Oryctolagus cuniculus: one gene and its partner. The protein of the gene in region 1 interacts with the protein of each later gene in a biochemical or structural test. Links are inferred from orthologs where the notes say so. Each region holds a gene or a part of one and is shown on either strand. Other genes may lie near its edges.

The links.
Region 2: the proteins of DLAT (region 1) and PDK2 form a complex in vitro, tested with the Homo sapiens proteins (2 studies listed by BioGRID). The link is inferred for Oryctolagus cuniculus from reciprocal best matches to the Homo sapiens genes DLAT and PDK2.

The regions. Positions count from the first base shown.
Region 1 is NC_091432.1:103,982,039-103,985,605, reverse strand, and holds part of DLAT (dihydrolipoyllysine-residue acetyltransferase component of pyruvate dehydrogenase complex, mitochondrial), read right to left. Parts: intron 2,645-3,567; coding exon 2,457-2,644; intron 184-2,456; coding exon 30-183; intron 1-29.
Region 2 is NC_091448.1:26,068,039-26,072,269, reverse strand, and holds the start of PDK2 (pyruvate dehydrogenase kinase, isozyme 2), read right to left. Parts: upstream 2,841-4,231; 5' UTR 2,672-2,840; coding exon 2,554-2,671; intron 901-2,553; coding exon 759-900; intron 1-758. UniProt on the Homo sapiens protein: Kinase that plays a key role in the regulation of glucose and fatty acid metabolism and homeostasis via phosphorylation of the pyruvate dehydrogenase subunits PDHA1 and PDHA2.

The DNA of each region.
Region 1 (3,567 bases):
CTTTTCACTCTCCGTAGAAACAGACTTACCTTTTACTTGTGTAAGATCAATGCCTTTCTCTGCTGCCAGCTTCTTTGCCAGAGGGCTGACAAACACCCGTCCTTTTGGTCCAGCAGGAGCAGCTGGCAAGGCGGCTGAAGGTGTAGGGGCAGAAGGCTGAGGAGTTGGAGCAGCTGTGGCCACCTTTCGAAAAAAGCTACAAATTATTGATTCATCACCACAGAGACCGGCCTGAAAGATTCGGTTTCCATTTTATAAAGAAATTAAAACTTAATTAAGCAATGTTCATCTTTTTTAAAAGATCAGAATGAATTTTTTTTTAACTTTTAACCAACACAATATAGCAAAATGAATGGCAAGGACAATTCTTTATGTCCAGGACAGAATAAAGTTATCTTACTCTGTAAGGATAGGGAAATTTTTTTTCTGACAAGGGTCATTTGGATACTACAAAATTAAAAAATACTACAAAAAATAAAAAATCAACTTTAAAATGAGCCTACTATAGATTAATTGAATTTTTTTTTTTTTTATTTTTTTTATTTTTTTGACAGGCAGAGTGGACAGTGAGAGAGAGAGACAGAGAAAGGTCTTCCTTTGCCGTTGGTTCACCCTCCAATGGCCGCCGCGGCCGGCGCGCTGCGGCCGGCGCACCGCGCTGATCCGATGGCGGGAGCCAGGAGCCAGGTGCTTTTCCTGGTCTCCCATGGGGTGCAGGGCCCAAGCACCTGGGCCATCCTCTACTGCACTCCCTGGCCACAGCAGAGAGCTGGCCTGGAAGAGGGGCAACCGGGACAGAATCCGGCGCCCTAACCGGGACTGGAACCCAGTGTGCCGGCGCCGCTAGGCGGAGGATTAGCCTAGTGAGCCGTGGCGCCGGCTTAGATTAATTGAATTTTGAGTTCCACCTACAGTTGCCTTTGCAGGGCCAGACAAGATAATTTCATGGGCCTTATACTGATAACAAGCTGGACATTTCCCACCCTGTCTATGAGTGGAATATAATACTTCTAACCAATATATAATATCCCTACAACCTTTTTTCATTTTAATCTCATATCACTTCTTTATTCCCATTCTTCTGTACTTCCAACACGGTTTTTGTTTTTACCTTACCTAATTTCAAAATATAAAATGATGGAAGGTTCCATGTTCAAAGTATCTTTTTTTTTTTCTTTTTTTTTCTTGTTTTTGACAGGCAGAGTGGACAGTGAGAGAGAGACAGAGGGAAAGGTCTTCCTTTGCCATTGGTTCACCGTCCAATGGCCCCACGGCCGGCGCAATGCGGCCGGTGCACCGCGCTGATCTGATGGCAGGAGCCAGGTGCTTCTCCTGGTCTCCCATGGGGTGCAGGGCACAAGCATTTGGGCCATCCTCCACTGCACTCCCTGGCCACAGCAGAGAGCTGGCCTGGAAGGGGGGCAACCGGGACAGAACCCGGTGTGCCGGCGCCGCAAGGTGGAGGATTAGCCTAGTGAGCCGCGGCACCGGCCCAAAGTATCTTAAATCAACATTGCCACTTGCCAGCTCCTCATAAACACCCAGCAATTAGGAATCAGGTTTTCTCTGACAGAAATGTGTACCTCATCTAAAGTCGCATAACTCTAGCATCTAGAATTGTCATCATACATGTTATTTGGCTTGCAGTTAACACAAGTTCATGTTATAGATCAACAGTGTATGCTACGACACATATAGTGGCATACTAAATTCTATGCTAAACAAGTCATATTCTGTCAATGTATTACAAAGATATGCTTGTTCCTCTATAATATGTAAATACCAACAGGAATGAAAGTGACAGATTATCTGGTAAATTAAACAGAAAATGCCAAATGAAACCTTACCTTCCAGAAGCATATCTACACCTAAAGCAGAAAGAGATCATGTCACCTCACATTTGCTCTCAGCAGGACTCAAGATAGCAGGCAGAAAAGAGCTATAAGAAAAAAACTGGCCGGCGCCGCGGCTCACTAGGCTAATCCTCCGCCTTGCGGCGCCGGCACACCGGGTTCTAGTCCCGGTCGGGGTGCCGGATTCTGTCCCGGTTGCCCCTCTTCCAGGCCAACTCTCTGCTATGGCCCGGGAGTGCAGTGGAGGATGGCCCAGGTGCTTGGGCCCTGCACCCCATGGGAGACCAGGAGAAGCATCTGGCTCCTGCCTTCGGATCAGCACGGTGCGCCGGCCGTGGCGGCCATTGGAGGATGAACCAATGGCAAAGGAAGACCTTTCCCTCTGTCTCTCTCTCTCACTGTCCACTCTGTCTGTCAAAAAAAAAAAAAAAAAAAGAAAGAAAGAAAAGTAAAAGAAAAAAACTATCCACCCTGAGGTTAACAGTGCAGCATGACACACCCTCTAGAGACAGCCACAAATGTCAATGAACTGTCTCCCTCATTCACAGGATCTTGGCGTTGAAAGGAATGCAGGGCATCACCTAATTCCAGGAGTATGCCTACCGGGGGTGGGACAGGTGGTGGTGCTTGCGGTTTTAAATCAGCCACTTCAGTCGGCCTATAGTCAGCAAATGCCGATATATCTGCTTCTTTTTCTACAATGATACAGAGTGGTGTTCCTAGAGGGACATCTCTCGTGCCTTCAGGGATCAGGATTTTTGCCAGATAGCCTTCTTCCTGCACTTCAAAACCTGAAACAGAGAGGGGAAACATTATGGCACTTAAAAGAACCCACTACCCCTCCAGACTCACAGCACAGTTTTAAGCTAAAGGCTTTTCTCCTGGCTGTAGTACCTTTTTGCATGCTATCTAACCTCTGTGTCTCTGTTTCCTTTTTTAAAAAAAAAGATTTATTTATTTATTTTGAAAGTCAGAATTACAGAGAGAGAAGGAGGGAGACAGACAAAGAGACCTTCCACCTGCTGCTTTACCCACTATGCCTCAAGGCTGGCCCCTCTATCTCACTTTCTTGACTTTTACAATGAGGATAATAGTACATTTGACCCTTTATAGCCAAAGGTCTGGATCCTCATATTCAAAGAACCTTGGGTTGAAAAGGTTACATTACTGCTGACATGTATGTGGGGACTTCAAAAAAGTTTGTGGGAAATAAAATTAAAATTTCAAAAACAAATTTTGCAAAACTTTTTGGGGCAGGCATTGTGGCATAAAAGGTAAATAAAGCCACTGCCTGAGACCCCAGCATCCCATACGGGTGCCAGTTTATGTCCTAGCTGCTCCAGGCTAATAGCTTGGGAAAAGCAGCAGCAGATGACCCAAGTGTTTGGGGCCCTGCTACCCACGTGGGAGACCTGAATGAATCTCCTGGCTCCTGGCTTCAGTCTGGCCCATCCCTGGCCATTACAGCTATCTGGGGAGCAAACCAGAGGATGAAAGAGTGCTCTCTCTCTCTCTTCCTCTATCTCTGTAACTCTGATTTTCAAATGAATAAATAAATCTTTAAAAAAATTTAATTCCATATGAATGTTTCTTAATTCACATTTTTCCGTGATTTTTTTTAAAGACTTATATATGTATGTATGTATTTGAAAGAGCACAGAGAGTGGGAGGGAAAAATCTTCCACCCACTGGCTCACTCCCCAAATGGCTATGA
Region 2 (4,231 bases), on another chromosome or scaffold:
TGGCCAGGCGGTAGCTGCTGCTGCCTCACACCCAGTGTGGTGCCAGGATCAGAGCAGGTGTGGACAGCACGGATTTGCATCCTGCAAATCCCGAAGACCCTGTGCAGGGCTGCACGGGGACACAAAAGACCCATGCTGGTTATTCACTGCCGTATCCCAGTGGCAGGCAGAGCACAGCCTGGCTTGCTGGTCACGTGACTGGCCGCTGGCTAAGGTATTCCAGCCACCTGACCTTGGCCAGAGCTTGAGCGTGAACTTCACCAAGGCTTTCGCCCGCTCCTGCGGCTACATGCAAGACACTTCTGGTCTTTGCCCCATCCAAAGCTCTTTGGGGAGGGACTGTGCCATACCTGAGTCTCTCTGGGTCTGACTGGTAGCTTGGATTATATAATGTGTTTTAGGAGGTGGCTCTTCTTTCTGTGTTTCCCAAAAAGTTACTCCAAGTAAATATTACCCAAGAGGGCTAACGCTGGCATCGGCTCGACCAGCGCTGTAGCTGTGAAAACAATGATTGTCCTAGGTGTTTCCAGAGAAAGGAGAATGGTAAGAACGGGGCTGTCTTGGCAGATACGGAGGCCAGGAGCTTGACCTTGACCCCGCATTGGCCTAGGAGCCCCACTGGCCTGGGGTAACCCGCTAGCCTCTCTCCTCACCCTCCTCAAGGCTGCTGGGAGCACAGAGACCCCCCCCCCCCCGCCAGCAGCTCTGGACACCTGACGGTGGGGTGGGAGGTGTGGGGAGCAAGCCAGGGGTCTCACCAGCTCTGCACCAGCTGCACGGAGGGCGTGCCGAGGACGCGGTCCGGAAGCAGGTTGATCTCTTTCATGATGTTGGCCAGGCGCACGGGCAGCTCCTGCCGGAGGAAGGTGAAGGAGGTCTTCTCGCAGGCATTGCTGGAACCTGCAGGGAGAGAGAGGACGGGGAGCCCCCGGAGCTGGAAACCACAGCACCCAGTGAGCTGAACCCTTCATTTCTGGTGCACAGCGAGACACCCACCACACTGCCCTGCCCCAGGCTTCAGCCCGGGCCCACCTGGGGCTGCCTCTAGCCTAAGCCACCTCCCTTCTCTCTTTCCCTCCTGGTAGACACTGCCTCAGTGAGCAAAGGAGCCTGGGAAACACATCCCTACCTGGGCTAGGTCCTGGCTGGGAGGAGGTATGCCTAAGACCTCCATGGCTGCAGGGGCCCAGCCGGCCTCAGCCGGGCTGGCCTGGATGCACAGTGTAGCGCCACCCCTGTAGTAATGCCCACATGTGCACAAATGGAGCCTGAGGACTGGAGTCCAAACAGCATGGGCTGGGTGGAGGATAAAGGAGCGGTGACAGGTTGAATAAGCCGGCCTGGAGGCAGGGCATCTCAGCCACCCAGGTGTGTCCCACCCTTTGGAGTTCTGTTTCCCACCCTGTATAAGCGGACCAAGCTCCACTATGCAGGCCTGCCAGCTGCAACGCTTCTGCAGCTGAGAGCTGCTGGGGCTGGGAGGGGCCCGGAAGGCTTTCCTACCTAGGGGCAGCTCAAGACTCAAACAGGGAAGGGGGCCCGCGGACTCATCCCGGGGAAAAGGTGCCCTATGTCTTGGCTGCCACCCCCTGCCGGCTCCTGTCCGTGACGCAGCTGTAACCGAAGCCACGCACTATCAGCTGGACTCTGGAGAGACCTGGCCTGCCCTCCCACCCCCCCCAGTCTCCAGCTGGCACCACGGAACCACTGTGCAGACAGACAAGGCCCATACAATGCCTGTTTGAGCTGCCCCGCTGGCACGGCCACCTCCGCCTGTCCTGGAGCCACCCCCAGAATGCTGGCGGGGGGCGCTCCAGGGGCAGCCCAGGGGCAGCCCAGGGAGGGTACAAGTGGCCTGACTCCATCTCATGGCGTCCTGGGCTCCTGCCCAGCAAGGACAGACGGCCAGGCTGGGACAGATTTGATCTTCAAGTGTCCTTGCCCACTGAGGCAGCTGGGGTGCAGCCCCTTCAGTCGGTGCAGGTGCACAAGTCAGGGGGACCCAGCGATGGGGGGCCTGTTGGCACCTTCTTCCCAAAGGGTCCCCTGGCTTTGTCTCACTCTGCCCAGGAGCCTCTCGGCCCTCAAGCACGGCCCACCCAGGTCTCCTTCCAGATGGCTGCATCTCCACACTCTGCCAGCACTCCCACCGGCCTGCTTGCCATCTCCTCAGGCCCCCAGACTCTCCCAGTCACCTGGGCAACATTATTAACCCTTCGGTGCCTGCACACCACCCGGCTCCCTCCCTGCCCCAACGTCATCACCGCTCACTGCCCAAGACCCCTCTGAGAGCCGGGGAAGAAACCTTGGACCCCTCCATCTCAGCGCCCCCGTCCCCTGGAACAGTCCAGTGGGGAGTCCCTTCTCGGGGAGTCCTTAACCCTTTCCGGGCAGGCGCTAACCCTGACTCCCCATTAACCCTTTCCTTTCTGTACTCTTCCAGGCAGCTCGTCCCTGTCCCTCGGGCCTCTCCTGGCCTCCGTGTCGGTCCTTCGGGAACAGGGTCCCTTCGACGCCCCCCGCCCCCGCGGGCCACCGCCGCCCCCTCCGTACCGAAGTCCAGAAACTGCTTAATGGACAGGGGCGACGGGGAGAACTTGCTGAAGTGCTCGATGTACTTGGGCGCCCCTGCCAGGGACGCATTCTTCAGCAGAGCCCGGACCCAGCGCATGGCGGCGGCCGCGGCTCGGGCTCGGGCTCGGGCTCGGGCTCGGGCTCGGGCTCGGGCTCGGGCTCGGGCTCGGGCTCGGGCTGCGGTCCCGGCCGCGGGTAGCGCTCGCGCTCGGCTCGGCCCGGCCCGGCCCGGCCCAGCGACGCGGTTCGACCACCTCCTCCTCCCTACCCTGGCCCTGGTGGGTCTTGAAAGGCTCAGCCAATGGGCTCGTCGCGGCGCCCCGACGTCGCCAATGTATGTTCACAAACAACTCCGGGAGAGCCAATGGGCTTCCGCCTCGGCACGTGGCTTCCCTCTGGGCCCGCCCCGTTAACCCCGTCCCTGCCCGAGGCGGCCTGTTGTTTTCCGGAGGCAGAGCCGGAGTCCCGCCTCCAGCCCGCACACTCCTCCCTTTCCTTCCCTGGACTGGGCCCGGGTTAACCCCTTCCTTCCTGGAGCCCTTTCGCCCGCGCTTCCACCTGCGCCTTTCCGGGCCCCCAGCTGTCTCTAGGTCCTTTTAAACCTCTCATTTCTTGACCTGTCCAGGTGGCTTTCAACGAATCCCCTTTCTGCAAGAGATGCCCGTTTCACTGGTTCTGATGCCTGCCTGCTCTCCCTCCCCGGGGTCCTCTGGGTTCCGAGCGCAGATGACAGCGCCCCGGACTGTGTATGTGCGCCACACTGGGGACCGGCACGCAAGCCTAGGTGCGCAACCCAGCCGCCTCCATGGAGGCCCGAGTGGCTCCGGGTAAAGTAGCGGTAGCCTTTCCCATCGAATAACACCGGAGTCAAAACCCTCGCGACAGGCGGCGGTGGAGACAGCAGTTGCCACCAGTGCGATCTCCTTTTCCGTTTGAGAGGAGGAGAGACAGGTACTGAAAGCGAGCGCCCCGTCCGCCGGGCCTAGGGATGGAACCCGGGGACTCCGATGTGGGTGGAGGGGTCGTCTTAACCGCTAGACTCAACACTCACAACAGGTGCTAATTTTCGAGCACCTTTAGCGAATCAGCACAACACAAAGCCTTGGCCATGGAGCGCGCCCCTCCGCCCCTCGAAACCCCTGGGCTTCTTTGGGGACAGGTTCCGGGAGCAGGTGCGCCCCGGGCGCCCCCAGCAGCCGGGCTCGCTTATAGGAAACGTGGCGCGCCCTCTTGTGGTCAGAGGAGGTATGTTCCATCCCGGACCTGAGTTCTGCTGGCCACTTGGATGCTCTCTGCTCTTGGAGGGGACTGTCCTTGGCCAGGGCTGATCAGGCGCCTAATACGTGCTGGGCTTTGTCCTGGGATCAGGAAGCACAGACAGCACCGAGACTAGACCTTGTCCCTCGATCATTTCGTTTCTCGGTTTGGAAAACAGATGCATAAGAAAATAATTACAACAGAAGGTGATTATCACAGCCTACCCTTACATGCTGGGGGAATAGGCTCCAAGACCCCCAGTGGCTGTTAAGACCCCCTACACACGCACTTTTTCCCTGTAGACACATACCTAAGATAAATTTTAACTTGAAAATCAGGAACAATAAGAAATTAACAATGAGGAGCCGGCACTGTGGCACAGCAGGTTAACACCCTGGCC